Linked DNA regions of Mus musculus. The protein of the gene in region 5 interacts with the protein of the main gene of each other region in a pairwise test. Links are inferred from orthologs where the notes say so. Each region holds a gene or a part of one and is shown on either strand. Other genes may lie near its edges.

What was found.
Region 1: the proteins of Gabarapl1 (region 5) and Scyl3 interact in binary tests that used the Homo sapiens proteins (3 or more experiments, as listed by UniProt). The two-hybrid records come from large-scale screens. The link is inferred for Mus musculus from reciprocal best matches to the Homo sapiens genes GABARAPL1 and SCYL3.
Region 2: the proteins of Gabarapl1 (region 5) and Atg4a interact in binary tests that used the Homo sapiens proteins (3 or more experiments, as listed by UniProt). The two-hybrid records come from large-scale screens. The link is inferred for Mus musculus from reciprocal best matches to the Homo sapiens genes GABARAPL1 and ATG4A.
Region 3: the proteins of Gabarapl1 (region 5) and Tax1bp1 interact in binary tests that used the Homo sapiens proteins (3 or more experiments, as listed by UniProt). The link is inferred for Mus musculus from reciprocal best matches to the Homo sapiens genes GABARAPL1 and TAX1BP1.
Region 4: the proteins of Gabarapl1 (region 5) and Oprk1 interact in binary tests that used the Homo sapiens proteins (3 or more experiments, as listed by UniProt). The link is inferred for Mus musculus from reciprocal best matches to the Homo sapiens genes GABARAPL1 and OPRK1.

Annotation. Positions count from the first base shown.
Region 1 is NC_000067.6:163,927,612-163,933,990, reverse strand, and holds the start of Scyl3 (protein-associating with the carboxyl-terminal domain of ezrin), read right to left. Parts: upstream 4,227-6,379; 5' UTR 3,805-4,226; intron 513-3,804; 5' UTR 463-512; coding exon 298-462; intron 1-297. UniProt on the Homo sapiens protein: May play a role in regulating cell adhesion/migration complexes in migrating cells.
Region 2 is NC_000086.7:140,954,728-140,961,305, reverse strand, and holds the start of Atg4a (cysteine protease ATG4A), read right to left. Parts: upstream 4,345-6,578; coding exon 4,335-4,344; intron 1-4,334. Other genes in the region: Psmd10 (26S proteasome non-ATPase regulatory subunit 10), read left to right, coding at 4,639-4,752. UniProt on the Homo sapiens protein: Cysteine protease that plays a key role in autophagy by mediating both proteolytic activation and delipidation of ATG8 family proteins.
Region 3 is NC_000072.6:52,739,633-52,745,412, forward strand, and holds part of Tax1bp1 (tax1-binding protein 1 homolog), read left to right. Parts: coding exon 1-97; intron 98-2,318; coding exon 2,319-2,543; intron 2,544-3,059; coding exon 3,060-3,206; intron 3,207-4,589; coding exon 4,590-4,722; intron 4,723-5,780.
Region 4 is NC_000067.6:5,585,874-5,592,216, forward strand, and holds the start of Oprk1 (kappa-type opioid receptor), read left to right. Parts: upstream 1-2,619; 5' UTR 2,620-2,790; intron 2,791-3,131; exon of another isoform or gene 3,132-3,161; 5' UTR 3,162-3,175; coding exon 3,176-3,432; intron 3,433-6,343. UniProt on the Homo sapiens protein: G-protein coupled opioid receptor that functions as a receptor for endogenous alpha-neoendorphins and dynorphins, but has low affinity for beta-endorphins.
Region 5 is NC_000072.6:129,534,917-129,540,516, reverse strand, and holds part of Gabarapl1 (gamma-aminobutyric acid receptor-associated protein-like 1), read right to left. Parts: intron 3,027-5,600; coding exon 2,948-3,026; intron 1,948-2,947; coding exon 1,829-1,947; intron 1-1,828. UniProt on the Homo sapiens protein: Ubiquitin-like modifier that increases cell-surface expression of kappa-type opioid receptor through facilitating anterograde intracellular trafficking of the receptor. Involved in formation of autophagosomal vacuoles.

The DNA.
Region 1 (6,379 bases), on a different chromosome or scaffold from region 5:
AGGACTTTCTTAGTGGAGCCAAAATGGAGCTCGACCCCCCCGCCCCCAGAAGTCAATGATCCTGTAAGGTCTCTCATCAAGAATCAGAGGCAGGATAAACATTCTTAGAGTAGACATATGAAATCACCTGCCTACCTTTCTCATGATTAAAATCCATTACACTGAGTTCTATGAGGGTCTTTGGCTATAGTGAAAGTATGCTGGAGACAGGACAACTGTTTTTATAACACCAAATCATAAAATACTTCTGCATGTGGCTGTAATAAAGATGCTATTAAGACAACTGCAGCACAGTACCTTGGCAGCCTTGTTAACCTTGTCTTCATTTTCTCGCTTATATACAAACACGGAAGCACATTTCCCATCTTGCAATATGGCGGGATAAACAGCAAGTCCAGATGGTAAGGTAAAAGGAGACTCCCTCAGTGTGTAGCTCTTTAAAGCGCTGTTCTCTGATCCCATCCCTGTTGCCGTGAGGCAGTTCTGCAGCTCCTCCTCAAATCCAAACAGCTCTACAAACAAAGAAGAAAAGGAACTGAGACATTAAATCTCGATCTGCAATATTAGCCAGGCTGGCTAATCCAGGTTTCCTCAATGTGACCACTAACAGGTACCCACTCACTCCTGCAGTGCCCACAACTGCATCTGAGAGTACAAATGGGCAACGAGCAGCAAGTTATCAGGAATGCGTGTTACTTAACAGCTAACAACTTCAGAGAAACTGTATTTTACCAAACAGTCACGTGCAGTTCCTCCCCCAAACCCAATCGTACACAAATATCTATAAAGTTTATAAACTTCTTCAGTTAAAGGTAAGTAGCCTTTAGATAAATACAAACGCCATAATTATGACACAAATCTCTCAACTTTAATTTTCCTTGTACTTGGAAGAAAAGCCACAGATATAATCTATGTAATGCTGCTAAAATCCATGCCTATCACTGAGTTTAAAGTGTGTATAGATGCATACACGTTACTATCGAGAGAATGAGAAGATGTGAGGGCGAGAAGCTATAGAATACTGGCTTTTTCAAAATCTCGGAAGATTATCAAATGCACTGAGCTCAGTTTGTCTCTCAAGACCCACTGTGACAGGCCAAAATGCAGAGAACAGGAGACTGCGGCGTTCAGTCCCAACACACAGACCTGGAGCGCGATTTCTGCACTTGAGACTCTGGGATCAGCTTGCAAAAGCCAGAGGGACAGGACGTTTGTTGTGAGACTCTATTTCCTAGGAAAAGTAAGAGACTTTTCTTGTGCTAATAAAGTCAGAGATTCAGACCATCTTGTTAACACGGTCGCCTAAGTAAGACCCAAACAACAAGGACACCAATGGACAAGCTAACTTGAAAGAGTGAAATCTCACACAACCTCACTCATAGCCAAAGAACTACAGGGACCCAGGGAATGCTGAGAATCAGAGATGTTTTCCTCCAGAGGGAAGGGCTCCCAGCTGGTTAGTCAATACCATGTGCTCAACATTAAGATCACACTTGCTTGCTTGCTTGCACACACACACACAGAGCAAGATGTACTTCTGTATTTAGGAGCACACACACATGCAACAAGAAAAAGACGATGAATTTGAGAGAACAATGGCAAGGAGGATGCACGGGAAGGGCTGGAGGGATGACAGAGAAAGGGGGGAAAATGATATGATTAAGTTTAATTCCAAAAAAAAAAATCATATAAAAAAAGGAATGACAAGGACCAGCCATATTTTACTGGGACAAGAGAAAAGCAATGCATGCAGCCAGAGAAAGAAGCTCTGATCATGGATGCAGTGGTCCCTGGGCGGCGAGGGCCTTCTTCCTGCCTCCTGGCCAAAGAGCAGTCGAGTCACAGCCGGATCTTTAGTATCCACAACCAGAATGAAGGGGCGGACCACTGTCTCCTCTATGGATCTGATGTTTTTCTTTATCACTAGTAGCACATCTGAAGCTGGGGTCACCAGGAGGTGGAGCTGGGGCCCCATGGAAGCAAACACGTGGTAGGCACCAAGGAAGTGAGTGGTCAGTGAGATAATGGTAGGCACAAGCTGGGGGAATGGCTGCTTTATAGAGACACACAGGCATCCTCCATCTTGGCCCTGCCTAGTGCCTGCAGGACGAGCAGCTGGCTTCCAATCCAGTTTTTCCACTGCCTCACTGACTAAGCCTCTAGGTGCTTGCGGCTTCCCTGGTGTGGCTTGAGTGGGCCTACACTCCCTGAGACCAACGGACACTTCTACTCTGACCCCTGCTTCAAACACCAGTGAGAAGAGAGGTATGAGTTAGGGAAGGGTTCATTTGAAAAGTATGTGGACCTAGCCTGCATTTTTGGTTCACTACAAAATAAAAGTTTTCAAAATTAAACAATAAAGGAAAACCACAGCAGGTGAGTATCTTCTTGGCAGAAAAACCAGTTTAATTTCGTTAGTCCTGAAGGGATACTGCGGTCACTGAGATTCATGAGCCACGCTGGCAAAAGGCAGGGGCAATGGGCATTTAGCTTACTGATTTCCAATAGCAGGCCAAATCCTTGTTGGAATATTGGCCCTTAGATTATCTATTAACCCTAACTCAATGTTATAAATACGAACATAATACCTTTAGATTTGCAAAAATACTAGGAAGCTACCAAAACCAGTCATTTTTCACAGTGATAAGTCGCCTATGACCCTAAGGAAGAGCACCTTTAAAAAGGCAAGGCTCAGTTTCTACCGAAGCGAATAGGATGCCCTGTACAGAGCCCCGCGCCCAACACAGCAGGGAAAGGGCGCCGAGGACTGGATTTGAGAACACACAAGGCGGTCACTCTGGTTCTCCCCACGCCTGTATCTAAGAGGCAGGACCGCTGGCACCAGCAGTGTTTTACAACCCTCAGGACGGAGCTGAAAGGAGCTTATGGAAATGCAAGACATAAGGAACACTCCCAACTCCACGGATTTTTTCTTGGTTTGGGAAGTAAGAAGGGGACTATGAAATAGTGCCAGGTAGCTTTGAAAGTCACACGAAGGTAGAAAAGGATATTCTAATATGGCATTTTTACTGACTATACCACTTATACTTTCTATAATGAAACGTCGAGTTGACAGTCTAGGATGTGACTGTACACTTTAATCTATCTATGTCTTCCATCCTTCTCATTTCTTTGGCTTCAGGCGAAGCTTCTGAAGGGTTCCATTTGGTTTGGGAGCAGCACCTTGCCTAGGTATTCAACCACATACCACGTGTGCTCTGGGGGAAGTATGTCCCTTAGTTCTCCCGACAGTAGAGACTCTCTTCGGTTCTAGTTCCCTTCGCTTCAAAGAGCCAAAGGTTATGACTTGCCCGAGAGTCCTAAGGATATGTACTCGTTGGCACTTAGATACTGGGTGACAAATCTTACCAGCGGCCCTGTCTCGGCCACGTATGTTCCCTGTCAGGAACTCAACCGCATTGTGCTAGCTGACAAGCAAAACATGTAGTCTCTGTGGACTAAAAGTACTCCGAGGTGTGACATCAGCTCAGAGCACACACATGTCCCCCAACCCAGCAGCAGCAGCGATCCCAGAACTCAGCAAAAGCGACCTTGGGAGATGTTGTTGTCTTTTCTACACGTGAAGCCCGGGGGCTGAGTGTGGACGCTCGTCGGGGACCCTGCACCGCGCGGCCTTCCCGCTGGACTCCAGGCCCGGTCTCTCGGCCCTCCACCGGCCTCGGCCGGCGGGGCTCACCCGAGACGCCAGGCACAGGGGCACCCCGAACTCCCCGGGGCAGCGCTCAACCGGCCGCCCCGGCTCGCTTCCCGCCCCGCCGTCCAGGCCGCACGGCTCCCGGTTACCTGCGGGCGGCGGGAGGAGGCTGGCGGCTCCGCTCCCTCTTGGCCCGCGGCTGGCTCCGACGCTCAGACCCCGGCTCCTCCACCCACAGACACCCCCGAGGACCCGGCTCCGGCGGCTCTCCGAGGGCCCGGAAGCGGCTCAACAGCCGGGCCTTCAGTTCCTCCGACGCCACCACCGAGGCGCGAACCCGGAACCGAGCTAGAGCGGCCGCACAGGTGCTGCGAGGGCGCGGGCCCGGGTAGGTGTGGGCGCCAGGGGAGCCTGCGCCGCACGCCTGTTCCCGGCAGCCGGCTCTGGCGGCAGGGAAGCCTCTCTGCGTGTGTCTTCAGCCCGACTGCAGGGGCATCCCGGTTTTCATGTTTGGGTTTTTAACCAGCCGCTTTTGAGTTCATTTCCGCCCGAATCCAAAATGGCCACCTCTGGCTTCAGACAAGTAAGGGGGCGGGGAGGAGGAGGAGAGGAGTTTGGGGCTGAGCCAGAACTTTTCCGGTTGTGACTGCCCCCTCAGCATCCTGGCCACCAGGATTGGCCTGCTGTCAGAGAAGATATGTATGTATGTATGTATGTATGTATGTATGTATGTATGTATGTATGTATGTATGTATGTATTTAGTGAAGTCAGAAATCATGGCGATTAACGCTTGAGACTTAATTAAGGCTTAAGGTTTCAGATGGAAAACCTGGAATCATAATTCAGCGAAATAGTACAATTAGAAGGAATGTCACGCAAGACCGGAGAGGACCGGACAGGAGGGAAGAAAGTGAAGAGGAGAAAAGGGGAAGGGAGGAGAGGGGAAATAAGGATGGGGGGGGGGTGTGTGGGAAAGGAACGGAGGAAGAGAAGACTACACCTGTGATAGAATTACCAGCTCCAATATCCGCTGACTTCTTGTTCTCTTCGAAAGTTCACCTTCGTTACAATAACCGAAGACTAAATGATCAACCCATTTGCGTGTGGGAGGTCGCAGCCAGCCTCTGCCTTCCTGGTAAAGAATGTAGATAAAGTAACATCAGCTACCACGTCCTGTAAGGCAAGTCAGAATGAGACCAGGATTGTCTTGATCAATTTATTTTGTGCCTTTCTTTTCCTGGAGGAGTAGAATTGAGCCACTTCAACCAGGGCAAGAAATCCACTGGGAGGATGATGCATTCCTGACTCACATCTATGCTGTATCGTTCGCTCTGGGTGCTTGCTCGCATTCTCATCCATTCTTTGATCACTAATCCTAGTCCAGCTGTGGATGGGATCCTGGGTAGCATGTAGCCTGTTTTCTCAAACACGATGGTCACCTACTCCTCTAAAATTAACACTAGAAGACAGTTCCCTGCTGCATGTGTAAGACATGATTGGAAGGGACACACTCAATACTTCTACCATCTACTCACTTCATTTATCCTGGTGTCACTCAGGTTTCTAAATAAACCATCTCTTACATCTCTGCATTAAGATTCCAGATATTTTTGAGGCCACGGGTTAACTTACACATCTTACCCTCAATAGGGTATGTCAGTCATTCTGTCCAGCGGACATTTGATTCTGTAGGAAAAAGGACCAGTATTGTACAGGCACACACAGATTCAGTTACCCCGCCTGGAGTTGGGTGACAGGTGATATTGCTCAGGTGGCACATGGACACGGGCTGGAGATAAGTAAGCTCTGCCCCTGGCTTGCAGTTCACTGATTAAGCCAGGCTCTCTGTCCAGGGAGCCCCAGAATCCACCTGCCTTTGCTTCCCCAGTGCTGGGCTTCCAGGCATAAGAACTTGGATTCTAATGATCAGACTGAGGTTCCAAGCACCTTACTGACTGAGCCATCTCCTAATGCCCCTCCCCACAAGATTACAGATTATTTGCATATGAGCCTTTGTGAAGATTTTGGGCTCACTAGATTCTTATGCCTTTCAGCCTATTTGACCTATTTTGAAGTTACTCATTTTGGCAATGAAAATTCACTTTTTAACATCCTTAAAAACACCATTAATCTGCATTAGATATGGGAAGGGCATTATCTGTAGTATCTGTCTCTAAGTATGGGTTTCTGATTTAAATCCTCCCAATGCCAATCCAAGCGTGAAATGCTTCTTAGCCTCCAAGTGTACACCAATCACCTCAGAGTTTAAGTGAAGAGAAAATAATAGATGTGTTGAGTAGTCTAGGTCTTGTCAAATGGCCTCAGACCTTAGTACAACTGACCCCATGATGGAAGTACCATCCAGGCTGTAAAACTCAGCATGTAGGCAGCACCACGTGCCAAAACTAAAACAAAGGCCTAATCCACCAAAGTCCCTTGTTCTGGGAAAGTCTCTAAATGAACTAACCTTGCTTTTTAGCTTCTGTAGCTCTGCTTCTGGCTAACTGTTCTTGTTAACAGAACATGGTTTTTCTGCTTAAAAGCTCACCCTGAGAAAGGCTCAGGGCTGCATAGGCATCCTGAACATCCAGTGTAGTTGTTGGCTGTCTAAAAAAAACAAAAAAAACAAAAAAAAAAAAACAAACACCTTTCTGTTGGCTTAAACCCATGTCTGAGCAGTCTTTTTGGAGAATACTCCACAATATTTCTGGATACCTCAAAAG
Region 2 (6,578 bases), on a different chromosome or scaffold from region 5:
AAGAAAATTTACAAGAAAAAAATCAAGTAGTAGTTATCAAGAACAGTGACTGGGGAATAGGAGCAACCACAAAGGAGCATGTGAGAATATAGGGGAAGTGTGGGATATTACATATCTTGACTTTGGTGTTGGTTACACAACAGTGTGTATTTATAGCCAAGCACATTGAAATCGATTTAATACCTGAACACAATGAGATTTATTCTATACCAATTATACCATAACTGCCTCGTAAGAAAAGTTAAAATGGAAACAGTATCTCCAGTCACACACAAATTTACAACATATATATATATTTTTTTAGCTCATGCTGCAATTCCAGCCATAGATTTATACCTTTAAAACAAGTGGAAAGGTTATTTCTGTAGTCCAAGATCCATTTCCCTGTGCGGTTGAGGATCTTTCACCTAACCTTCTGATGGAAGTGATTAACCTGCAAACATCTCCCAAAGCAAACATATCAAGCAACAAATATGTTCAGTGGTAATCCTATGCTCTTGTACACTGGTCTGATCATAAGAAAAACAGACCTTTTAAAAACTACAACGTCCCTAACAAGTGCATTTCAAAACTACCAAGATCAGCAAGACAAATAAAATCTGAGAAACTGTCACAAGCCAAAGGCTTCTAAAGAGACAGGAATACTATGTGATTCACACTGTCTTGGATGGGACACTGCCCACAGGTAAATTAATGAACCTGGAACAAAGTGTGGGCGAACAGTCAATTAAAATAGACCAGTGTGTACTTATTCATTGTGATCACCATGGAAGAGTGCATTAAAATGGCAACTCAACTAATGCTGCTGGCACATGTGAAAAGAATTGATCTTCGCTAACTCGAAATGAATGCAAAAGAGAAAACAAAATTTCCAGAGGAAAACATGAGGAAAAAAAATCATTGAAATCTTACATATTACAGTCTTAGCTAGGTACAACACACACACACACAAAAGAGGAAAAAGAATAAATTTGAATTCATCAAATATCACAATGTGAGTGAGGCCTAGTGACTGACTCCAGGAATAGTAATGTGTGGGAGCTTGAAGCAAGGGAATTCCAAGCCTGGGCTACACAGTGAATTATAGACCAGGCTGGACTACAGAATGATACCTTGTCTTGGAAAAAAAAAATCAAAACCATCCCCTTCAAAACACATACCACCATGACAACAAAAAAGCTGAGCACTGTGGCCCACCCTGTAATAGCCACTTGGGAGGCAGAAGCAGGACAATTGCAAGTCTGAGACTAGCTTGGGATACATAGTGGGAACACGTCTCAACAACTGGAATAACACAAAGGAAAATAAAACAAAGCAAAAGGGCGGAAGACAGACTATGCCTGGGAGTATTTGTACATTATATACCTGACGGACTTGGATTTAGACTATGGAAATAGTTGTTACAACTCATCAACTAAACAACAACCCAATTTTAAAATGAAAAAACAAAAAACCACAGAAGCAGGTCCTTGGGTATAAAAGATACACCAACAGCTTACAAGCACATAAAACATGTTTGCTACACCCAGCCACTCCTTATGGAAAGAAACGATGAAATTATACTATATTATTTCATACCAATTTAAATGGCTATAATTGTCAAAGGCAAGACATACACCAAAAATTCCAGCATTTGGGAGGCTGAAGCAGGAGGCTTGTGAGTTTAAAGCCATCCTAGACCTTATACAAAGATCCTAAAATAAAATAACAAGAAAAGCACAGTCGCTAACAAATGTGCAGGAGGATGGGTTGCAATGAGAAGCCTCATACACAAGACTGCTTCTTCTGCTTTGGAAAAAAGTTTTGTAATTTCTTAAACTATTAAACATAAATTATCCTATTACCCAGGAATTCCACTTTCAGGTAACTACAACAAAAGAAGAAAACAAATGTTCACATAAAGATGTTTACATCAATGTTATAAGCAGCATTAGTCATAATAGCCAACAACTAGAAAAAATACTAAATTTCTATCAGTTGGTGAGCAGATAACCAAAAATGTATTACCATAAAGTGTAATATTATTAGGCAACAAAAGTAAGTACTTACATGCACAAGACTATGGTTAAGTCTCAAAACTATTAGGGTGAGTGAAAGAAACCAGACTCAAAAGACCACATATTACATTATTTCAATTAAGTATAATGTTCAGAATAGGCAATTTTATATAGACAAGGAATATATTAGCGGCTGCCTGGGCAGGAGATAAAGATTAACAGTAAATGGGCATGAGGTCTTACTTGAAGGTCAAAACATTCTATAACTGATTTGTTGTGATAGTCACATAAACCTGAAAATTTACTAATAACCAATTACATATCTAAACAGGTGTATTTTATTTAGTTAAGTTTAGTTTAGCTTAACTTAGTTTTGTTTTGGTGCTGAGGATTGAACGTAAGGCCTTGTGCATGTGAGGCAAATGCTCTACTACTGGGCATCCCTAGCCCCAGTTGAATTTTATGGTATGTAAGTTATCACAATCAAATTGTTAACATAGGGAGAAAATGTGAAACTGGGTAGAAAATATGTGGGAATTCTGTACTATCTTTGGAACATTTGTTTTGAAACAGGGGCTTGCTAGATGTACCCCTGGCTCTCCTAGAACTTGCTGTGTAGACCAGGCTGGCCTCAAACTCAAAGATCTGCTGCCTCTGCTTCCCAAGAACTAGGGTTAAAGGTGTGAGTCACTGCACTGGACTTTGCAATTTTTCTATAAATCTAAAACCTTTATGGAAAAATTATTACATTGATTTAAATCAAAATCAGAATTTATGGCTTTCCAGATGGTTCCATAAGTAAGCCCAATGTCCTGTGGTAAATCCCCAGGCCCAACATGCTTGAAGGAGAGAATCAACTCCCAATAGTGTTCTCTGACTTCCACACTCATGCCAGGCATCATGTATGTAAGTGTACACACACACACACACACACACACACACACACACACACGGAGGGAGGGAAGGAGGGAGGGAGGGAGGGAGGGAGAAGAGAGAAGAGGAAAGGAGAGGAGAGGAGAGGAGAGAAACCAACACTCTTAGAAGCTGAATCAGGTCACACACAATCAATAAGATGCAATAAAATAATTAGTATTTAAAAGAATATGTTCCTGGATTATCAATATTTGGACATAACTTACTGCATGAAAACATATTTTCAAAGAGTTTTCTAAAGATTAAAAAGAACATTTGGAATAAATTTTAATGATAGAAAATAGCAACTTTAAACATCAGCTAAGCAAACAGTACTTCCCTCAAAGAATTCCGTTCTCTTAGTATTTCTGTGTTAAAAATAAATTTCACTGGGGTCTGGAAAGATGGCTCAGGGTTTAAGAGCACTGGTTGCTCTTCCAGAAGACCTGAGTTCAATTCTCAGTACACACATGGCAACTCACACTGTCTAACTCAGATCTCAGAGGATCCAACATTCACACGGTGTACAGACACACATGCAGGCAGAAAACACACTCACACAAAATTTTAAAAAGCTAAAAGCATTATATAAACACATACTCCACTATTATTATATCCCGAATTTCATCAATTAACATTTGTCATAACTTGTGTTCTCGAGTTGGTTTTATCATCTGTCCTGCAAAGCTTAAAATAACTATGATCTGGCGTTATATAAAAAGTTTGCTAAGCCCTGTTCTATACCATAACAAAGGAGACAAACTTCATCAGTCACTTTAAAAAATATATCTTTAACATTTTTCTAATGTCTTTTTTGATATTTTCTATAAAAGATAAGCCTTGCATCTCTTCTGCTGCAGCACTATTTGGAAATTCACCTTTAAAAAAAAATCCACATTGTTAGCTTAGCAATCTAGCAAAGTCTCGATGGTAATTGCCATTACCATGTTATTAAAGTGACAACATCATATACCCTGATATCCCTAAGGTGACCGCTGTTACTCACTGAGGTCTCTTAGGTATCTAGTGGCTCCTATGGCATCACACCCTGTCTTTAGCATCATTCTGGCACATCACCTCTGTATGGTGTAATGTATAACCTGTGTTGTAGCAGAGCCTTACTCTGATGCCACTCCGGAGAAATGCCAGAGTAACTAGCCTGTGCTTCTTTCCACTCCTTAAACAGTGGTAGGGAGGGGGAGGGTAGCTACAGTCAATGGTTCAAGCTCAGAGGTAGTACTCTGCTCCAACTCTGTCCCTTCCGCCTGCCACTGCAAGTGAGGGCCCCGAGGGACAAGATCTGTAGGATCCCAGAACTCTCTTGCGCTGCTACAGTTTTCATTTCATGTGGCCAACTTACTGGCCCACCAAAGACCACCCACCCTAGCTTTTTCACACAGTACTACCAGAAGCCGCTCCCATTACCTGACTCCATTCTCCAGCTGTCATCCTGGGCCAATTCCACCGGCAACTTGACTACGGCTTTCTCTAAGGATTCTGGGACTTGTAGTTCCACTTTGCTAGGACCCGGAACTGAGTGACTTCCAAAGACGCCTCCAGGCCTGGATCTGCTTTCAAACTGCAACTCCCAGAAGCTCCAGGCTATGGGCGGGGCTACAAGGAAAACAAAGATCAGTGATTGGAGAATTTCTAGTACTTTGATTGGTCGCCGGAACAGGAAATGCGAGTGGGCGGGGCTTGAGTTTCACGGAGGTCTTGGGAAGGCGAAATGGAGGGGTGTGTGTCTAACATAATGATCTGTAACCTGGCCTACAGTGGGAAGCTGGATGAGTTGAAGGAGCGCATTTTGGCTGATAAATCTCTGGCTACTAGAACTGATCAGGTAAACCAGCCCGAGGGCTTGTCGCCTAGCAGCGGGTGTCAACGAAGCCCTACATGGCTTCCGGGTCCTAACTTGGTGTGAGGCCACTTCTGCGCTCCTCCCGCCCACTCCTCCCTCTAGTAGCCTTGGGTTAAAACACGACTCCTGGTCCAACTGTAACCCCTCAGAGACTTTGGGACAGGGTGGGGAGGGGAAGCTAAGCTTGCTGAATTTCATATATTTCTAGAACACCCACCGCTTTTCTCAGAAATTTCCAGAGTTAAGAGACAGCGCGATGGAGATCTGTGAAAAAAGCTTGTTAGGTGGATTTTTCTTTAGTTGTAATCCCAGTCAGTGGCCCACGAGTAACCAAATGCCCTTTGTGTGTATGTCAGGAAGTTTGAGAGGAGCTGGGAATTTCAGTCAAGTCGGAAAAAAACAGGCATAAATGAAATAACGGTACATGTCTTATTACATATTTTAAATCCCCCAGAAAGAAGTTTACATCATTTCAGAACATAGAAGGAGAAGACATGATAGGAATAGTTGGGAAGGGCTTTGTATAGAAGGGGAGGTGATTTACACTGTGAAGAAAGAATGGGGTTCCATGTGGGGCGAGTGAACTGTGGCAAACAAAAGAGAATGGACATTGGGAAGTATTTCTGTTCAGATCAACTAAGTCTCAGGTTTTTATTGTGACTTTCCAAATCATAGGTTGCCTTCTGTGTTGAGAGGCAAGTGTTAAACATTAGTAAGACAGTACATCATACTTCAGAACTTCCATGTTGTCTCTTTTAGAAGAGAAATCGGAGAGACTGCTTTTTTTTGTCCTGGAATTTTCCTTTATTACTCAACAGTAGAATTCCCCTATGTTCACCGCGTTTGCTTTTGTGATGGTCTGGTGATGTGGTTTAAATTTAATAACGTGTATTAAGACTTAATCCACTAAAAATAAGGAGTCAGTGACATAAAAGAGACTGCTAATCAGGATTAAGAAGTTAAATACAACAACCAAATGCAATTAATTTATAGACTTTATTTGCATCCAGATGTAAACCACCTGGAAATGGGCTTATAGGAGACTATTGGTTTTAAGTGGGATAATTTTTTTTACTTTATGTAAATTTTTTGTTGTTATTTAAGATATGATCTCCCTATGTAATCCAGGCTGTCCTTCCAATGAAGATCCTCCTGTCCAGCCTCCCAAGTTCTGGAAGGTTTGCATTACCACCATGACAAAGAGTTAAGGAATGTCACTTTAAAAGGTCCAATAATGATCTTGTGCTTGTTTGTTTTACAAAAGTGATTTTATTTTTTAGGTGCTGAAATAATTAGAGGTGAACAGTCATGGCCTTTAGGATTCTGTTTTAAAGAAACCTCGGCAGGACTGCAGAGGTGGCCCAGTGGTTAGGAACACATACCTTCCTTTTTTCCCAACTTCCTGTAACTCCAGCTGCAGGGGGATTCATTGCATCTGGCCTCCCCACGCCCATGTGGTCACACGCACATACCCATCCACATGCACACAGTTCAAAGGGAAATAAAACGTTTGAAAAGAAAATTCAAGTAATAAAATCTAGAAGTAAATATGGCAAGATTTTGGTTGTTAAGGCTAAGGAATAGGGCATGTGATCGCTGTCATATCTCCTCTATTTTATGTGTATTTGAAATTTTCATAAAGTTGAACGGCTGACTGGGGACACTGACAGGGAAGGCTGTGGACACTTGTGGCTCCTTTCCTGGGTACCAACAGCATCTCCTCCCAAAGAGACACCTCCCTAAGTGTCATTTAAAGGCTGTATAAACACTCTTATACATACACTCTCATACACTCGCATTCACACTCA
Region 3 (5,780 bases), about 77 Mb from region 5:
GATTACCCATTTCAAAGAAGAGATTAGCAAACTGCAGTCCTGCTTGGCTGACAAGGAAAATTTGTACAGAGCTCTCCTGCTTACAACCTCAAATAAAGTAAGAACTTTAGAAAAATGTGTTTGAAACTTCTCCAGTATGTTTTTTACTCTTGTTTTAAATTCTTCCCAGCGATTTCTCTTTTTAAAAAGAAATCCCCCTTTTTAATTTGCACTACATTAGTTTTATTTATGCATCTGGTGTGATGCATGTGAACACCTGCAGAGGCCGGAGAAGCACTCGGAGCCTCTGGAGCTTGGGGTTAGAATGGCCTCTGGAAGGAAGGAAGGAAGGAAGGAAGGAAGGAAGGAAGGAAGGAAGGAAGGAAGGAAGGAAGACACTCTTACCCTGGTGCCATCTTTAGTTTCTCCACCATTTCTTTTGAAAAAGTTTAAAATCACAACAGTTACTGAACTCCTGCCTCCAGCTCTTAAGTACTGAGATTATAGATAGGTACCCATCACCTTCCTGGGCTCTTGCTTTATGTAGCATGTTGGATCTGCTCTCTAACACTGTACATCCTCATCTTTTCCAGTGGCTGCATGATCTTGCATGCGTACATTTATTTTATTGCGTAGCTTTTATGGATGAATGTTAGGATGTTTTAGCATGTTGCTGTGAATTCTACTGGGGATGTCATTAATGCAACTCTAAAAATGTTAGGAGTCCATGGCATTTACAGTTCCTGATTAAGTCTGCAGTTGCTTTTTAATCTAAAAGATCGCAAATGTGAAAAGTGTATTTGATTATATTTATTTGATTTGCTAAGATGCTAAAAATATCTTTAAGCATCTTTTTAGCATTTAACCAAGACCAGTGAAAAACATAATTTTTAATTACTGAGGAAAATGATTACTAGTTGCTAAAATGTTTTAGTAGATTGTAATGCAGTGTGAATTTATGGTTATAAAAGAATTTAAATAGTGATGAGGGTACAAACTGAAAGTTAACATCCTTTTTTGCTATAAGATTGTAAGATTGTAATTTAAAGTTACATGAATTATACATGTATATTTACATTTTAACTCAAATGAGAGAGAGAGAGAGAGAGAGAGAGAGAGAGAGAGAGAGAGAGATTGTAGAACCTTTTTCCTTTTGAGACAGGTTCTCATTATGCAACCCTAGCTGTCCAGAAACTTGGTATGTAGGTCAGGCAGGGCTCAAACTCAAGAGACTGCCTTCTTTCTGCCTTTTGAATGCTGGGATTAAAGATGTCCGGCTCCATGACTAGCTACAAGATACTACTAGGAATACACTTAATAGCTCTATTTCACTCATGATTATAGCTACATAGTATTCTTTCTTGTCATTCAGCATATGTGTAGTCAGTACTTAATAGTTTACTGTCTTCAGCTCTTCTGAGCATGCTCCAGTTAATACTCTTGTATAGCTCAAGTTACAATAGTCATGTGCCTAAATAAATTCCTTCAAATGGAGTTGGTAGGCTAAAATTTTATCATAAGGTAAGTGCCACCTTTTGATAGTTATTTTCAAATTGCCTTTTCAAAAAATACTGTATTAGGTTTTACTCCTAATGATGTACTATATGCTACTGTTTATAGTGGCTTCATAGCTTTTCATTATATATAGCATAGTTTAATTCAAGACAATTTCATTTTAGACACTTTAAAATCTATTTAAATCTATTTCAGTGTGTTTAAAAAATTAATTGAATTCTGAAAGACAAATCTTTGCCTATGCCATTTATAATTTTTTGAATGATTTTTGAAGTTAAAATTGCTAGATCAAGAGCCAAGAGTAATTTAAGGTGTTGGTGAGTCTTGAAAGGCGGCTGAGAAGCCCCAATTAGGGTTCATGTAATTGTGCTTAATAACTGTTTCTCTACTTTTTAAAAAATTAATTTTGCCAGGCATGGTGGTTGCACATCCTTTTAATCTCAACACTTGGAAGGCAGAGGCAGACAAGATCTTTTGTGAGTTTAGGTCTACATGGTGAGTTCCAGGACAGCTGGGGCCATGTGGAGCAAACCAGTCTCAAAACAAAAAATAATAAGTAAAAATAAAATAAATCAATCTATATGTTTGAACATTTGGGATATATATACTTTTATTCAGTCAGAACTAATCCTTGGGTGTGCTGACTGACTTCCTGTCCTATAAAGTGGTAGAAGTAAACACTTTTGGGCTGTTATATGAGAAATCTGAAACAAAGCCTAAGGCATGAGTGGAAAAGCATTATTTAACTTAAAATTCTGAAACAAACTGTTACCTTTAAATTTTAATGTTTTAATCAAAATTGTATATTATCTGCCTTTCTTCAGGAAGATACATTATTTTTAAAGGAGCAACTTCGCAAAGCGGAGGAACAAGTCCAGGCAACACGGCAAGAACTTATCTTTCTGACTAAAGAGCTCAGTGATGCAGTGAATGTGCGAGATAAAACTATGGCAGATCTGCATACTGCACGCTTAGAAAATGAGAGAGTGAAGAAGCAGCTAGCCGACACACTGGCAGAGCTGCAGCTACATGCTGTAAAGAAAGATCAGGTAAAGCAAGTTAACTTGCATCTCTGTTGATCCCCCAAAACTAGAAGCCCCATAAAAGAGAGGAATAAACTATTCAGATAAGTCAGGTAAGAAAGGCTAACTTCTATTCACTCTGTTAAATCATTGTCATTTCTTGGATTGAATAGAAAACATTTATACGCACAATTCTTACTGTCAGTAAAGGCTGTTGCAGTACACACTTTTGATGTATATTATATGTGACAGAGATTGCTTCATGTGGAACTTCTGTTTACTAGCTATATAGAATGGCCATCTGATTATTTAAGGGTATTGCATACAAGTTACGTAATTGCTCCTTAGGTGGATGCTTTTCCTCAGCTGTTAAGTAATCCTTAGACTCTCTACTATATATAAAAATCAGTAGAAAGCCCAAACTCCAAAACAAATTTAAATTAATTAAAGGTCAGAAAAAAATAATGGAAATGGAGTTAGGATTTCTTATTAAATTATGAACTATCGGAATTTTTTCCTTAGTTGAAATATTTTTTTCCTAAGGAAAAGACTGATACCCTGGAACATGAACTGAGAAGAGAAGTTGAAGATCTGAAACTCCGTCTTCAGATGGCTGCAGATCATTACAGAGAAAAGTTTAAGGAGTGCCAGAGGCTCCAAAAGCAAATAAACAAACTTTCAGACCAGGCAGTAAGTGTCACCGAGTTCCTGTCGGTGAACTTTTCCTTTGTCAGCCTTGCGTTTGCAGATAAGATGGATAATATTTTAAGTATTAACCTTTTGAATACAAATTATCACTTCATTTTTTTCTAAACACAAATCTTATTTTGTACTACGTTGCTTATGTAGGTATATGTGGGTGTTGGGGGTGGTATGTGAAGGTCAGAGGACAGTTTGTAGGAGTTTATCATCTCCTGGTTACACTCTCTGGGTCTCAGGAATAGAGGATGGAACTCAGGATGTCGTCAAGTTTGATTGCAAGTGCTTTTACATGCTGAGCCATCCTGCTGGCCCGAGTTTATCATCTCGATTTCAAGTCATTGGCCTAATACTATAACGACAATCCTCTTTCTGTTTAAACTTGAGATTTGTATTTACTGAGAATGAATAAAGGGAAGGAAGCTAGGTCAGCAGCAAGAACAAGCAGGAACAGGTACTCTTGTCTTCAGGGCGTTGCTCTCATAAGCCCTTGATAAGTAGCTTTGTCGATTAAACTCAATATGTCGTAGTAAATGTCACTTGTGGCAAAGGTGACAGCTCTCACTCTTTTCTCAGTACTCTTCCGTTCTGCTCATGCCACATTAGGAAGAGGCAAAATGTGTTGGCTTACTCATTTATATTTCATGTAGGAGTAGGTAGATTCATAATAAAACAGACATTTCATTTGGATGGGCCTATGTATTATGTACAGTCCCAAATTGTACTTATTATATGAGGGGATCTTGGAAGTGAAGTATAAAGAAAACATTGAAAATGTGGGGTTGCGTGGTCCCACAGTTTTAGGTTCTCAGGAACAAATAGGAGCAAGGAGTGCATGCAGGATAGTAAAGTGGAAAGGGTTCTGTGAAGAAATATGATTCACATGGGGATTTTTATTTGTGGCTTTTTTTTTTAGCACATTTTAAAAAAATGTAAGATTTTGCCTGCATTACATGTGTGCACCACATGTAGGTTTGGTGCTTGTATAGGTCAGAAAAGAGCATTGAATTCCCTAGGATTAGAGTTACAGATGGCTATAAACCACCATGTGGGTGCTAGGAATCAAACCTAGGTCCTGTGCACAAGCAGCACATGCTCTTACCTGCTGAGACCTCTCCAGACCTGCTGAGTACACTTCTGACTTGTGAGATTGTAAGATGTTTATGATGATGAGTTCTGCTGACTTCACAAGAAAAACACAGTTAATCTTCTTTCCTTTCCACCACTTAGGAAAATGATGTAGCTTTATTCCTTTTAGGTTTTCAGAGGGAGTAGTGTGGTTCACTTTTTTTGGTTATATACATGATTAGTAAAGGAAATCAATATGACTCGTTCAGCGACTTTTCCAGTAACTTACTGTTAACCTTTGAATAGGCGAGTACTAACAGTGTCTTCACAAAGAAAATGGGGAGTCAGCAGAAAGTGAACGATGCTTCAATAAATACAGACCCGGCTGCCTCTACTTCTGCTTCTGCCGTGGATGTAAAGCCAGCAGCGTCATGTGCAGGTAAAAATCTCCTTCTGTGTAGTGTGACCTTCTTGAAAACTGGACACTGATTTGATACTGCGTGCTTCCATGTGTGATAATTTCAGGCTGCTTCCATAAATTCTTGGGAGAGAGACTTGAGAGGCAAAGTGGGAATATGAGGGTATTAGTGTGAGATGGAGTTATGTATGTGGTGACCATGCAGAGTGTGAGTGAGTGTAAACTAGTACTTAGCTTCAGGAGAATAGTCACGTATTAAACATTAAATTGGTACTAGAAGTACTAATTTGAACCATATGGAACAGTGAAATGTAAGAATTCCTGACATTCAAAATTATGTTAAAATGTGACTGTAAATACAGACCAGAGAAGGTTCTTGGAACACAATGACAAAGGACAAATATAGAAAGTGATGAAGTTGAAAAATCTAGGTTTTTGCAGCACATTAACAACATCTAAACTGGAGGCTTATCTTGCACTTTAATTTTTTGTAACATTTAAAATATACATACATACATACATACATACATACATACATACATATATGCATGCACACACAATATATATAATGTTGTAGGGGGCAAATATCCTCTTCTAAATCCTTTGTTTTGCAGTGGGGTACATCTTTCATTAGTGTACCTGGAGACTGATGTTAATGTTAGTTGGTTCAATGTTTGACTACTTAAAATTGATTTAAGTATATCAAATGGGTAATGTCGTAATTTGAATTAACTGGATTTTTAATTTATGCTCTTCTCCCCTTCTTTTATGTAAAACAAGCAACAATAGGGAAAATAAGTGCAAGCTAACTATATTTCCATTTTTAGTGTGTGGTGTGACTGACAATTTAGTTTTAAAAAATGAGATTCCCTATGCAATTAAATATTGAATGAAGAGGAGCCTGTAGCATAGTCTGCAGCGTTCCCTTTACTTGTCCTCAGTGCAGATTGACGATTCTGACCCTGAAACATCTGGGGAAAGAAGTGCTTTCAGGTTTCAAGGGTTTCTCTACAAAGTGAATGTGTGCACAAACAGTTCATTGTTCCTATTGAGAGTTAAGAACCTGAAGCACCTCGCAT
Region 4 (6,343 bases), on a different chromosome or scaffold from region 5:
CAGCTTCCGGAAGAGTACTCTTTATTGGATTGCTCCTCATGTTTTGCTCAGTTTGTTTTCCTATGTACTCCAGAACTTCCTATCCAGAAATGACATAACCCTCAGTCTACTAGACCAGATCAATCATTAATCAAGAAAATGCCCCACAGTCTTGCCTACAGGCCATTTTTTTTCTCTCTCAACCATTATTTCCCAACTGAAGTTTCTCCTCTCTCTACTCCTCCCAGTCCTTTCCTGCCACCCCCTTCTCTTCCTGATCCAGTCTTCTTCTTTCCTTTCAGAAAATGGTAGGCCTTCCAGGGATATCAACCATGCATGGCATAGAAAGTAACTAAAAGACTAGACATATAACCTAATATCAAGGCTGGATGTGGTAGCCCAGTAGGAGAAAAAGGACTCCCAAAGCAGACAAAAGAGTCAAAGATAGCCATGGTCCCACTGTTAGGAGTCCCTTAAAAACATCAAGATATACAACCATAACATATGTGCAGAGGTCCGATCTAAGACCCATACAGGCTCCGAGATTATTGCTTCAGTCTCTGTGGGTCCCTATGAGCCCAGTTAGTTGATCCAGTAGGCTTTGTTCTTATGGTATTCTTGAACCCTCTGGCTCCTACTATCCTTCCTCCCCTTCCCATAGGTTCCCTAAACTCTGCCTAAAATTTGGATGAAGCCTCTCTGATGATGATTATGTTAGGCTCCTGTCTATAGCAGAATATCATTAGGAATAATTTCTTTCACTTTTTTTTTGTCAGTTATGTTTTGCTCTATCTTGTGTCTCTGGCCTATCCAGCCTCTAGTTCCTGGCCCTCCAGGCAGTGTCAAGTGTGGACTCCCTCTGTGGCATGGGTCTCAAGATGGACTAGTCATTTATTGGCTACTCCCACAATTTCTATGTGACCTTCACCATACCCCATCTTGTATGCAGGACAAACTGTATGTTTTTGGCTGAGTTGGTGTTCAGTCCTTCCATTGGAAGTCTTACCTGATTACAGAAGATGGCTGGTTTAGGCTTTGTATTCCTCATTACTCATAGTCCTCATTAGGGTCACCCTAGTAGATTTCAGGGAGTTTCCATTGCATTAAGTTTTTACATTGCCCCAAAATGTCTCACAATTCCAGTCATCTTTCCAGAACTTTCTCCCTCCATTCCTCCCTCCACCATACCTGATCCCATCTGTTCCCATCCAACCTTCACCCAGTACACCCTCAAAATCTATTCTATTTTCTCTTTCCAGGAAGATCCATGCATCCTTTCGTAAGTCCTTCTTATCATTTAGCCTCCTTGGATGTGTGGATTGTAGCATGATTATCCTTTATGGCTAATATCCAATAATAAATGCATACATACCATGTTGTTCCTTCTGGGTCCCTACAGGCCATTTATAAAGAAGCACTTTCTGAGTTGAGATCCTTTCTTCCAAGATATGACTATGTTTGTGTCATATTGACAAAAACCAACCACACTCTTTGCAATGAAAATTTGCAAGACTTGAAAATGGTCCTCAGAGCTGGGAGTTGAAAACACTGTTGCCAAAGGAGAATGTTCGTCTTGCTTTATATGCAGCAGAGTAAAAAAAATTGTACATCTGTAAACTGTGCAGGCAGATGGCCAAATCTCCTTCAGTTAGTAAGCAGCAGAAGTTCAAGGAGCCCCCCTCCTATCATCATCGCATGAATAGACTTGAGTCTGCCACTAAAATGCCCACCTGTGGACATGATGTACATTATGGGAAACAATGGGGATCTGGTTTATCTAAGTCCTTGAAACTCCTGGGAAAATTCGAGTGTCTCACCCTTGGGTGGTTCCAGTTCCACAGCACTTCTTTTTCTTTTGGAATATTTCTTAGGGACCCAGCTCTGGATCCCCAAGAGCATCTTTCTCTTAGGGCCTCTTTTACCCAACAGATTCTGACAGGGACACCTGGACTGTCAATATTTTACACATAGTTGAGACTGTTTCTCACAAAGGTTTGAATTATCTGCATTTGGTATAGGCAAGAACTTCATGGCTGAGATTAACATAAATAATTACTCTCCTGCTGCAACAGCAGAGCCTAGGAAAGGAGAATGTGTGCAGTAATAGCAGGCAATAATATTAGTACCTGTAAGTACAGTGTTCTTGCAACCTGCCATTCTAGACAGAGCAGAAAGGGTGACAAGATGCACAGTAGCTTTCCATTAATAGATCTTAACCCACTAATTCTATATGATCTGTTTGATTCTGACAAGATTATTTGGCCATTTTATTTGTATCCTTCAATAAATAAAATTCAGTGCTACCACTTGCTTCCTTGCTTAAAGACACTAGTCCTGGGAACTCTGAAGAAAAGAAATTCCAAACACACGGAATGATCCCATGCACTCTTGTCACTGTACAGGGCCCTTTCAGTTACTGGACCTTAGCTAAGCATCAGACCGCCCGCCAGGAAGCTGCAGAGAGAGAAGCGGCAAGCAGCTTGGGCAGTTGGAGTTAGTGAGCCTTGGCAGAGCGGCAGACTGGCCTGGGTCAGCTCTGAGGGGGCGTGGCTTGGAGAGGAGGGGATGGGCGGGGATAGGCTGAGATGGGGAGCAGGGCGGGGGCAACCAGCCCTGCAGCTCTCAGCTTGCCTGTCCCCGGCGCACCTTGCTGATCCCAAACAGGCAGAGCTTCTTCCAGTCTTGGAAGGCACAAATTGAGCATCAGGAACGTGGACCCATCAGGGCTGAACAGCTACTCAGGATCTAAAGTGGTGACTTGGAAAGCTGACGGTGACTTGGGAAGGGAGGTCGCCAATCAGCGATCTGGAGGTGAGCTTGGGGCTTTCGAGGCACAGTGGGGAAATTGCTGTGGCTAGTGCTTCTTGGGGTTGCATGCACAGACAGGCAGGGTAGAGGCAGCCACAGGAGTGGACAGCACAACGCCCGAGGGTGAAGCAACCTCAGGGCTCCAAAAAGGTGCAAATACTCTCAGTTTAATAGCTGCAGTGGAGGTAGGGGTAGGGGGTGGGAAGGGGATTTCAACCTGTCTGCTCCTTCCTTGGGATGGGCGGCCAGACTGAGTCCTGGGGTTGCGGGCTCCTGCGCCTCCAGCCCTGCCTGTACAGGCAAAGTTTGTCTCTCTGGGTTCAATCTGTTCTCTGCTCCTGCAGCCCCGCAAGTGCCACCTTCTCGCTTTCCAGCTGCAGCGCTCACCATGGAGTCCCCCATTCAGATCTTCCGAGGAGATCCAGGCCCTACCTGCTCTCCCAGTGCTTGCCTTCTCCCCAACAGCAGCTCTTGGTTCCCCAACTGGGCAGAATCCGACAGTAATGGCAGTGTGGGCTCAGAGGATCAGCAGCTGGAGTCCGCGCACATCTCTCCGGCCATCCCTGTTATCATCACCGCTGTCTACTCTGTGGTATTTGTGGTGGGCTTAGTGGGCAATTCTCTGGTCATGTTTGTCATCATCCGGTGAGTTCAGGGACAGGTCTCGGTGGTGGTGGTGGTGGTGGTGGTGGTGGTGTGTTGACAGTAGACAATTTGTGTGTGTGTGTGTGTGTGTGTGTATACCAGACAGCCAAGTGAGTGCAGGGTCTCTTCTATTCAGGGTTCCTGAGAGATTCTCCAAGGTGACATCTTAAAAGAATTTCCTGGGAGAGTGTTTTGTCAGGAATTGTGGGTTTCATACAGGGCTAATCCAAGGTACTTTTAGGATTTAAGAGCTACCTGCCCACATCAAAAGGGAGGCTACAAACCTCAGCTAAGAGAACACGCAAGAAAATGCCAGGGTTCTGATCACAAGGTCGTTTCCTGGTAAAGAAATTAGAATATCTGTGTAAGCCCTTGCTTGTTTGCCTGCTCTGGATTGAGTCACTTTATTGCCCTGTCTAATATTTCTTTAAATAAATTCTGGGCCCACCAAATGCATGGGAGATAATTCAGATTTGTGTGTGTGTGTGTGTGTGTGTGTGTGTGTGTGTGTGTGTGTGTGTGTGTGTGTGACTTGTTAGACTGATGGTGCAGCTTATGAAACGAAAACCAACTAGGCTATTTAGTGTTGTGAATATCCACTAGCATGACTTTGAAGTGCCCAGGATTAAGCTCAATGAGTATGCTAAGCAAGCACTCAAACTAGATGGTGTGGCTGTCTCAGAAGGCATGTGGTACCCCAACTGGACATTCTGCAATAACATTGCTCCTTCCATGTCAAATCTTTCATCCCCTCCTCAAAGTCCCCATAATCTCTGCACTAGATGTTCTGTCCTTGTCTTTCAAAGTCTCATAGGTATCAATTTAGCATCTTTTTATATATTACAAATCATTGCAGAAGAGCATAAAGAAGGCTGGGGCTGCTGCAACTTTATGCTGGGCTTTGAATGAAGCAATATGGTCTCACCTTTCTGCATCCTGTCTTGGAATAATATTAACATTTCCTTTTACTCAAGCATAGCAAAAGCAACCTCAGAAATTAAAAGCCTATCGTTCTCTCTCCATGTATTTTGTACATGTTTGAGAATGTCTTAAAAGAGAGTTAGTTTCATGGTAGCTGCTTATGCGGATTAACTAAGATTATTTTCTTTCAGTGGAGTATGTGATCCCAATGAAGTGTGAAGTCTGCACAGCCATTTTAGGACATAAACTAAAATCGATAGAAATATAAAGAGGTTGGTGGATAGGATATCAGTCAACTAGCTGGGTGGTGGTATAATAGGATTGTAATCCCAGCTAGTTCGCAGATGGAAGCAGAAGAAATGTGAGCCTGTTTAGACAACTTAGTGAACGCAAAATAAATTTCAAAATAAAAGCTAAAAGCACAGAGCTGGAGGAAATGCCTCAGTGTTTGAACACTTACTGAGCACACATGGGGCTCTAGCATCATAGAAAAGGAAAACAAAACTGTGCTCTTTATATTTGAACAGATCACAGACAAAGCCTTCACAGTTGTTTCTCTGCTCCCTTGATTTTACATACTTTCCTGGCATCTATCTCAGAGCTAGTTTGAGGAGTTTGTTTCTTACTGGGAGGAAGAATTTTTCTATGTTAGCTATTACACTGTATTCTGAGTGGCAATATCTTCCTGAGAACTGTGCAAGTGGCACCTCCTTCACCCCAGCTTGACTTCTGGATGCAGGCCTCAAGGGTTGCCCCTGGAGGCTCCAAACTCAGCTACAAATCTAAAATTCTGTGGCTGTAAGACTGCTGTCATTCTAAGATAGATTAGATTTCAGTGGGGCAGTTAGTACAGGCTTAGAACTGTATCAAGGCCTTTGAAGATAACAGTTACTTGTTCCTCACCTTCTATTTAAAGACTGTGCTGGCTTATGTTTTAGAGAAAGAAAACTTACATTAGAAAAATAGATGATGGTGGTCATTGTTTTTGAGACAGTCTAAGTAAATTTCCCAAGCTGTACTCAAACTCACAATCCTCTTACTTTAGCCTACCATGTAGTAGGATTACAGACCTGTGCTACCATATCTCATAAAAAAAAAAAAAAAAAAAAAAAAAGAAAGGAAAAAAAAAGGAATTTAGGAACCAGGTTAATGCTGCAAAAACACATGTGGGTAACTGTTTATTTGTTTGATTAACACTTATTATCCAAACTGGACAACTGAGTCAGAATTTACATGAAAGATTTAAATCTTTGCTATGTCCACTCTTCAGATTTCTATATGAAGTCAGAGAAATAATTTTAAATATTTGTATGCCTTTTGTTACCCTGATGGTAATGCCCTGCTGAATGTATTGGAATTTGTTCTTAGGGCTCATTGCCACATGGCAATATCAAGAGGAAGGGATGACATGTTCTAAGGTATTGATTACTCCAGTGAAATTGTTTCTTAGGCATTCCCGGTCTCCCTTGGGCACAGTTCTGCAGGGATAGCCTGCCCAGGGCCAGGAGTAATGTTTGTCTTGGGTTGTTGCTGAACATGGCTAACTGTGTGGCAACTGAAGGACAAAGCTTGTGCTCCTGTTCCATCCTCTTATGGGGCTGGCTCTCTGCATAGGCCAGGGCACTGGAAACATCCTGGCTCCAATGGCAATCAGGTAGTACAGACCACTGCAGACTGACAGAATGTGAAAGGCAGCTCAGAATCAAGAACCTCACTTCCTTTGCTTTACAGAAATGAAGAAACTACTGCCTTTTAGTAAGCAACTATGATTTCAATATCAAATAATCCAGAAGAATGTTTAGCAAATTAATTTGATTTATATGAACTGAAGGTATCTAGAGAATTTAATGAAACAAACTCATTACATTTTCAAATCATTCAACTGAAAAGTCATATTGGGAAAATCTTCATTCCTGATCATTTCATTTTTTATTTAACATCTTTAAAAGGGAATTTTCTAAAATAATAGTTGAGTTCACAGAAAAAAAAT
Region 5 (5,600 bases):
GACAGGGAGCGGGTTTCTCAGGCCTCACCCCTTTCTGAGAATCTATACTTGATTGATAGTTGAGGGGGACAAGGAGTCATCTTCTATTGTAGAAAAGTGTCCATCCATGCTTCCGTAAACAAGCTGAGTGCTCTCCTTTAAATAACTGGGTTAACAAAGCAAGACTGAGAGGGGAAAGCGACAGGGTAAGATGTGGGGGTAAATCTGACTGAAATATGTTATGTACAAGTATGAGAACAAAAAAAAATAAGACCCATTTATATAATGAATATATGCTAATAAAAGACACTGGGAAAAAAAAGGCTGGGTGCAATGATGTACACCTGTAATCTTAGCATGTGAGAGGCTGAGGTAGGAACATTAAAGCTTGAGGTCAGCCTGGGCTACCTGGCAAATCCCAAGCCAGCCTGAGCTTCTTGTCAAGACTCTATCTCAGAGACCCAAAGTAAAACAAAACAAAAAAGATCTCCAAAGATGAACAGGAATGGATAAATGAATTAAATGTCAAAACATAATACAGCACACCGTGTGAGCTGTCGAGCCCTGCCTGGTAAGCCACCCAGTACCATCAGTAAAATTCTTGCAAGTTTTTGGCATGATTTCAGAGCTTTCACAAACAAAACATTGCGAAAATAATTCTTACCTTGAAAAAAAAATTACTCTTAGGCCGGGGGCTGGGAGACATGGGTCAGTGAGTAAAGGCTTGCCTTGCCGTACAGAGGCCCCGAGTTCAATTCCCAGAACCCAGATAAAAATGGCATGTGTGATGTTGTGTGCTTGTAACTCCAGCTCTGGGGAGGTCAGGAGGATCCCTGGGGCTCACCGGCCTGTCAGGCCAGCCTATCTGTGTGTTCTAAGCCAATAATGAAACCTTGTCTCAAGAGAGGCACACAGTGTTCTTGATGAAACACCCTGAAACTGTCCTTCGATGTCCACCTGTGTGCGCACATCCATGTACACTTGCAAGCACACACACACACACACACACACACACACACATTTAAAAAAAGGAAAAAAAAAAACTCCTCACTCTAGCAAGGAGAGCACAGAAACCACAAAGCATCTACTGGCATACATACTCACGGGAATATATGCTATGGAATAATAAGGGCTAGACCAGGGGTTACTAGATGTGCATCTGACTATTGGAGCACAATGGGAAGGCAGTATCATGTGTGACATCGTACAAGGAGTAGTACAGTCACAATCTTAGGTCACATTATTTGTATATGAAGTCCTCACTACAGTTTTTCCCAAATCAGATCCTAACTTGACACTTTAACTCATTCCCTGTACTCAGATAATGGAAACTCTTACGTGGCCTCCGGTTTGCTCTAGAAAGAGAGCTTCCAGATGTGCCTGTCCTAAGCCGAATCTTGGCCGTTTATGTGGGAGCTAACTGGGAAGACAGGGCTCCAGGTTCAGACGGAAAAGGAGCCAAGGGTTGCTGGTGTCTCTTTTCTCCATCTATTGCTAGATGTGGATGGCTGACAGGCAGGAAATGGAGTGCACAGTTCACTAACAAACTGTGCTTCCAGAGACAGTAACAGAAGGGTGAGCATGGTGATGCTTTGCTACCAAGAACCACTGGAACCGGCAATAAAGTACTACAGTCAGGAAAGACTAGAGAGAGATTTCAAAAGATTAAATCGAGTAGGTGCTCAGTCCCTAAAGGACAAAGGGTATCTAATCTCCCAGCGTCACAGTGCTGTGTGTAAGAGGATCCCCATAAATAACACCTCCTGCCCTACTTCCCAGGTGTTTAACAAACCCTGGAACCAGAGCGAAGGGACACCAGGCTGCTGGGTATTGTGATCAAGACCATTACCTCATACAGCTGGCCCATGGTAGCACTGGTGGGAGGGATGGTGTTGTTGACAAAGAAGAATAAGGCGTCCTCAGGTCTCAGGTGGATCCTCTTCCGGATTAAGAAGTAGAACTGGCCAACTACAGGAAGGAAACAGAGAGCAGGGTGAGAAATGAAAAAGGATTAGTAGGAGAAACCTCAGAAAACAAAATAAAATCTATTGTGTAAGTACAAGCTTTTCAGACCCAAAAGCTGTCCGAGAGCCTTAGTGGGAAAATAGAAAAGGAGGCATGTACAGTGTCTGACCCACCACACTGGGACTGTCCCCTCCCTTCTTCCTCATCCATCTTCAGACTCAATATTAGCAAATCTATCCAGCACGACTATTGTGGGGGAGTACAATGTAGATCCAAGCATTCCCATCTAAATGGACTCCTGATTCCTTTGGGGTCCCATTTGCACTCTAAGAGCTAACAATAGGAAGAGATCCACTGCACTCTGGCCCTCCCAGTACCATGGGGGCAAATGTTGGGACAATGAGCCCACGCAACTTCTTCCTGCAAACAATGAAGCTCTGGGAGGCTGACAGGCAAATGCGTGAACACTGCATCTAAAAGAATCTTTCCAGGGCATCCTGAAGGCACCTGGTACTTCTTTAAGAACAAGGTAAACTCTAAATACATATAATTCAAAACAGAAAGTAGGCTAGGTTTTGCAGTTTTCATCTCCCAGACAGAAGCACATTTAAAGATAAAGTATTTGGATATAAATCTCTGAAATGTGATCCTCCTTGGTGACAATACCCAAGACACGGCTGGAGCTGATATAAATCGATCCACCTCAGGATAGCATGGCTGATTTTTAAAGTGGTATAAATGACAAACTTTTGTTCTTTACTCCCAGAGTACTGCTTTCCTGTGTCTCCATGACTAGGGTACATGAGTATGGCATTGGGAAATATCAAACAGAACTAGAAACAGGAGGGCAGAGTATGCCTATCTGTACTGGCCAGCTCACTGAAGGAAACCATGCAAGGTCACCACCTACATGCAGTGACAACCCATATAGTCACCAACTTAGACTTAAAGATCAAGAATGCTTTGCCTGGAATGAAAGGTCAGAAGAGAGAAAGATGGTTACCAGTGAGGTCGGAGGGCACAAGGTACTTCCTCTTATCCAGATCAGGGACCCTGGCTTTAGGAGCCTTCTCCACGATGACCTAGAAGAACAGGAGACTGGGATGAAAACCAGACAGCCTAGCATTGTCTTTTTCCTTACATACCTGAAATTTGCCCATGCTGTCCAGTCTCATTTTTCAGTCCCCATTTCCAATACTCCTTGAGTTTAAACAACTACAAATTACCTATAAAGGGCTATAAAAGTCATTCACCCTACGGTATTTTATTAGAGAATTGAAGAGATGTTCTGTGTTTCTAAGATGTGTCTGATGACCTATTTATTTTTCCTCTAAAATACCATTTACAGACCCAGGAGAAGAAGCAGTCACAAAAGCGCTCTCTGTCAAAGTGTGAAGACTGAGTTCTGATCCCCAAACTCCATGTGAGTGCCCACTGGATGTGCAGTCCCCATGCTGGGAAGGCAGAAACTGGAGATCCCTGGGTCAAGCTGGCTGGCTGGAGTAACTAAAGGGGCAAGCTCTGGATTCACACTGAGTAATGTGAAGAGTAAGCAAGAATTGTGTGAGATACCAACATCTGGCCTCCACATACATACACGCAATCACACACATGCTCCCTCGCCTGTGTACACACTTACACAGAGGGGGAAATGCCATTTGTTACAAGCACAACATTATAATTTAGAACTTCACTGCCTTTCAAAGGCCGTTGTGTTAAAAAAAAAAAAAAAAAGTGCTCCTGCCTTGGTGCTATGAGCAAGTGGTAGAAACTTTAAGGGGTGGGGCATCATGGAGGTTTTAGGTGTTTGAGCCAGAGACTAATCCTCCCTCATCTGTGCCTCTATGCTTCTAACACGATAGTTTGACGCACCACCAGGCCAAAGACTGGGGCCATCTAAGAGCATGGACAAAGACTTCTGAAGTCAGTAGCTTTCTTTCCCTATAGAATTTGACCTTCTCAGACACTGCTACAGTGATGACTAACACACACACACACACATACACATACACACGCACGTAATGTGGTTCAGATTTCAATCTTTGCAGAAAAGTGTTCATTGCTGAGTGAAAGCTATTTTGAATTTTTATAATGAGGGACACTTTTTGAGAGTCACACACTAAGTTATTCAGCATTAGTAACCGTGTTAGAATTTTAAGGGACTTTCAATGTCGACATTAAGTTTTTTCATAACACTTTTAAAGATTCTGCATTTTGTAACAAAGAAAAAGACACAAAATCTTCGGTGATGTTTACAGAGTGGCTCAGAGAACAGAAAATATCTGACAAGAATATTAACATTAGATTCTTTGTTTTGAAAATCTCATCTTAGAGATAAGAAATGGGAAATACACAAAAGCAAAGAAGCAGAAACAACACTGGACAAGTATCCCTAGAAGCTGAGTGTCTGTCAGTGTGTTTCCGACCTTTTCGAGCTTCTTCATCAAGCCACATACCTGTCCACCCCCAGATACCATACAAACAAGTACAAGAAAATGCTTGGGTAGACAGACGTGAATCCAAAGCTTCAAGGGAAATAGAAAAGAACTTGAAAAGAAATAGACCAAAAAAGAGGAAGGAAAGAGGCAGGTTACAAACAGAGCACAGGAAACAGGGAGCCCTGGTATTCACCACAGGAACTCTTGAGTCCTGGAACTCCAACCAAAAGGAGAGGGGACTTGTTTTCTGCATCTGTCGCAGTGGCTCATACACCATAGGGATGTTTACAAATGTTTAAAAATAGTATGTCCTACAGTTCCTGCTGTTACAGGTCTCCAACACACGGTTATCTCAAGATCCCATGATCCCTTCTCCCAAGGCCCACGCACACCTCTTAAGAGGCCAAGCTTAAGTTGTGAGTCAGACTGCCTTAGAAACTTAGCGGCTTTCCTGTAAATACCTGAACATAGGAAGATTCGGCCCTGTGACCAAGGCAGGAGAACTCCTGTTATAATCCAGTCATGGAGAAGACACCAGGCAAAGGGTTCCAATTTTAGTGTTGCCCCCACTCCCACCCCCACACAAATCTCAGCAGGGTTCTATGTCACAACCAGATGAGAGGTTGAGAACCTCTCAGATTGGGAGGTACCATCTGGGTGTGAAATCCAGGGATCCATGAGATCTAAGCGAAGGTGTCTTGGCTTACAAATCATCACTGAAGTAAAACATTCAGCATCAAGTCACAAACAGGAGAATACAGAGAAACTGCAATATTGTGGGTGAGTGCTGTACACAACTGAATGCGAGGGGGCTCTGTCTTGAGGAAGGACGGAGGTTTTAGCTGAATTTGGAAACAGTTGCAGGTCACAGCTCGGATTTCTGTTAAAGTTCTGAATAATGGGGGTAGGTGTTCACTTAAGTTTCCTGGCTGGCACCAACTACCACCTGAACTCCAGATGGCAGCAGGTGTTAACCTACTTCTAGGGCTCAACCTTACAAGGCGTTCATCTAACTGTACTACAAACTGGAAAACAAAAACAAAAACAAAACTCTGGAAGCCCAAGGGCTCTGGAAGCCCTGAAGCATGACAGCCAGGGCTGGAATTCTCCTCCACCAGTCAGCAATGTCAAACCTGTGGGTGGTGACTTCACTGCCCTGTGCTTCAGAGCATGTCTCTAGCACAGGGATTTTAATGCTGTGACGAGAGTCGGTGAGTA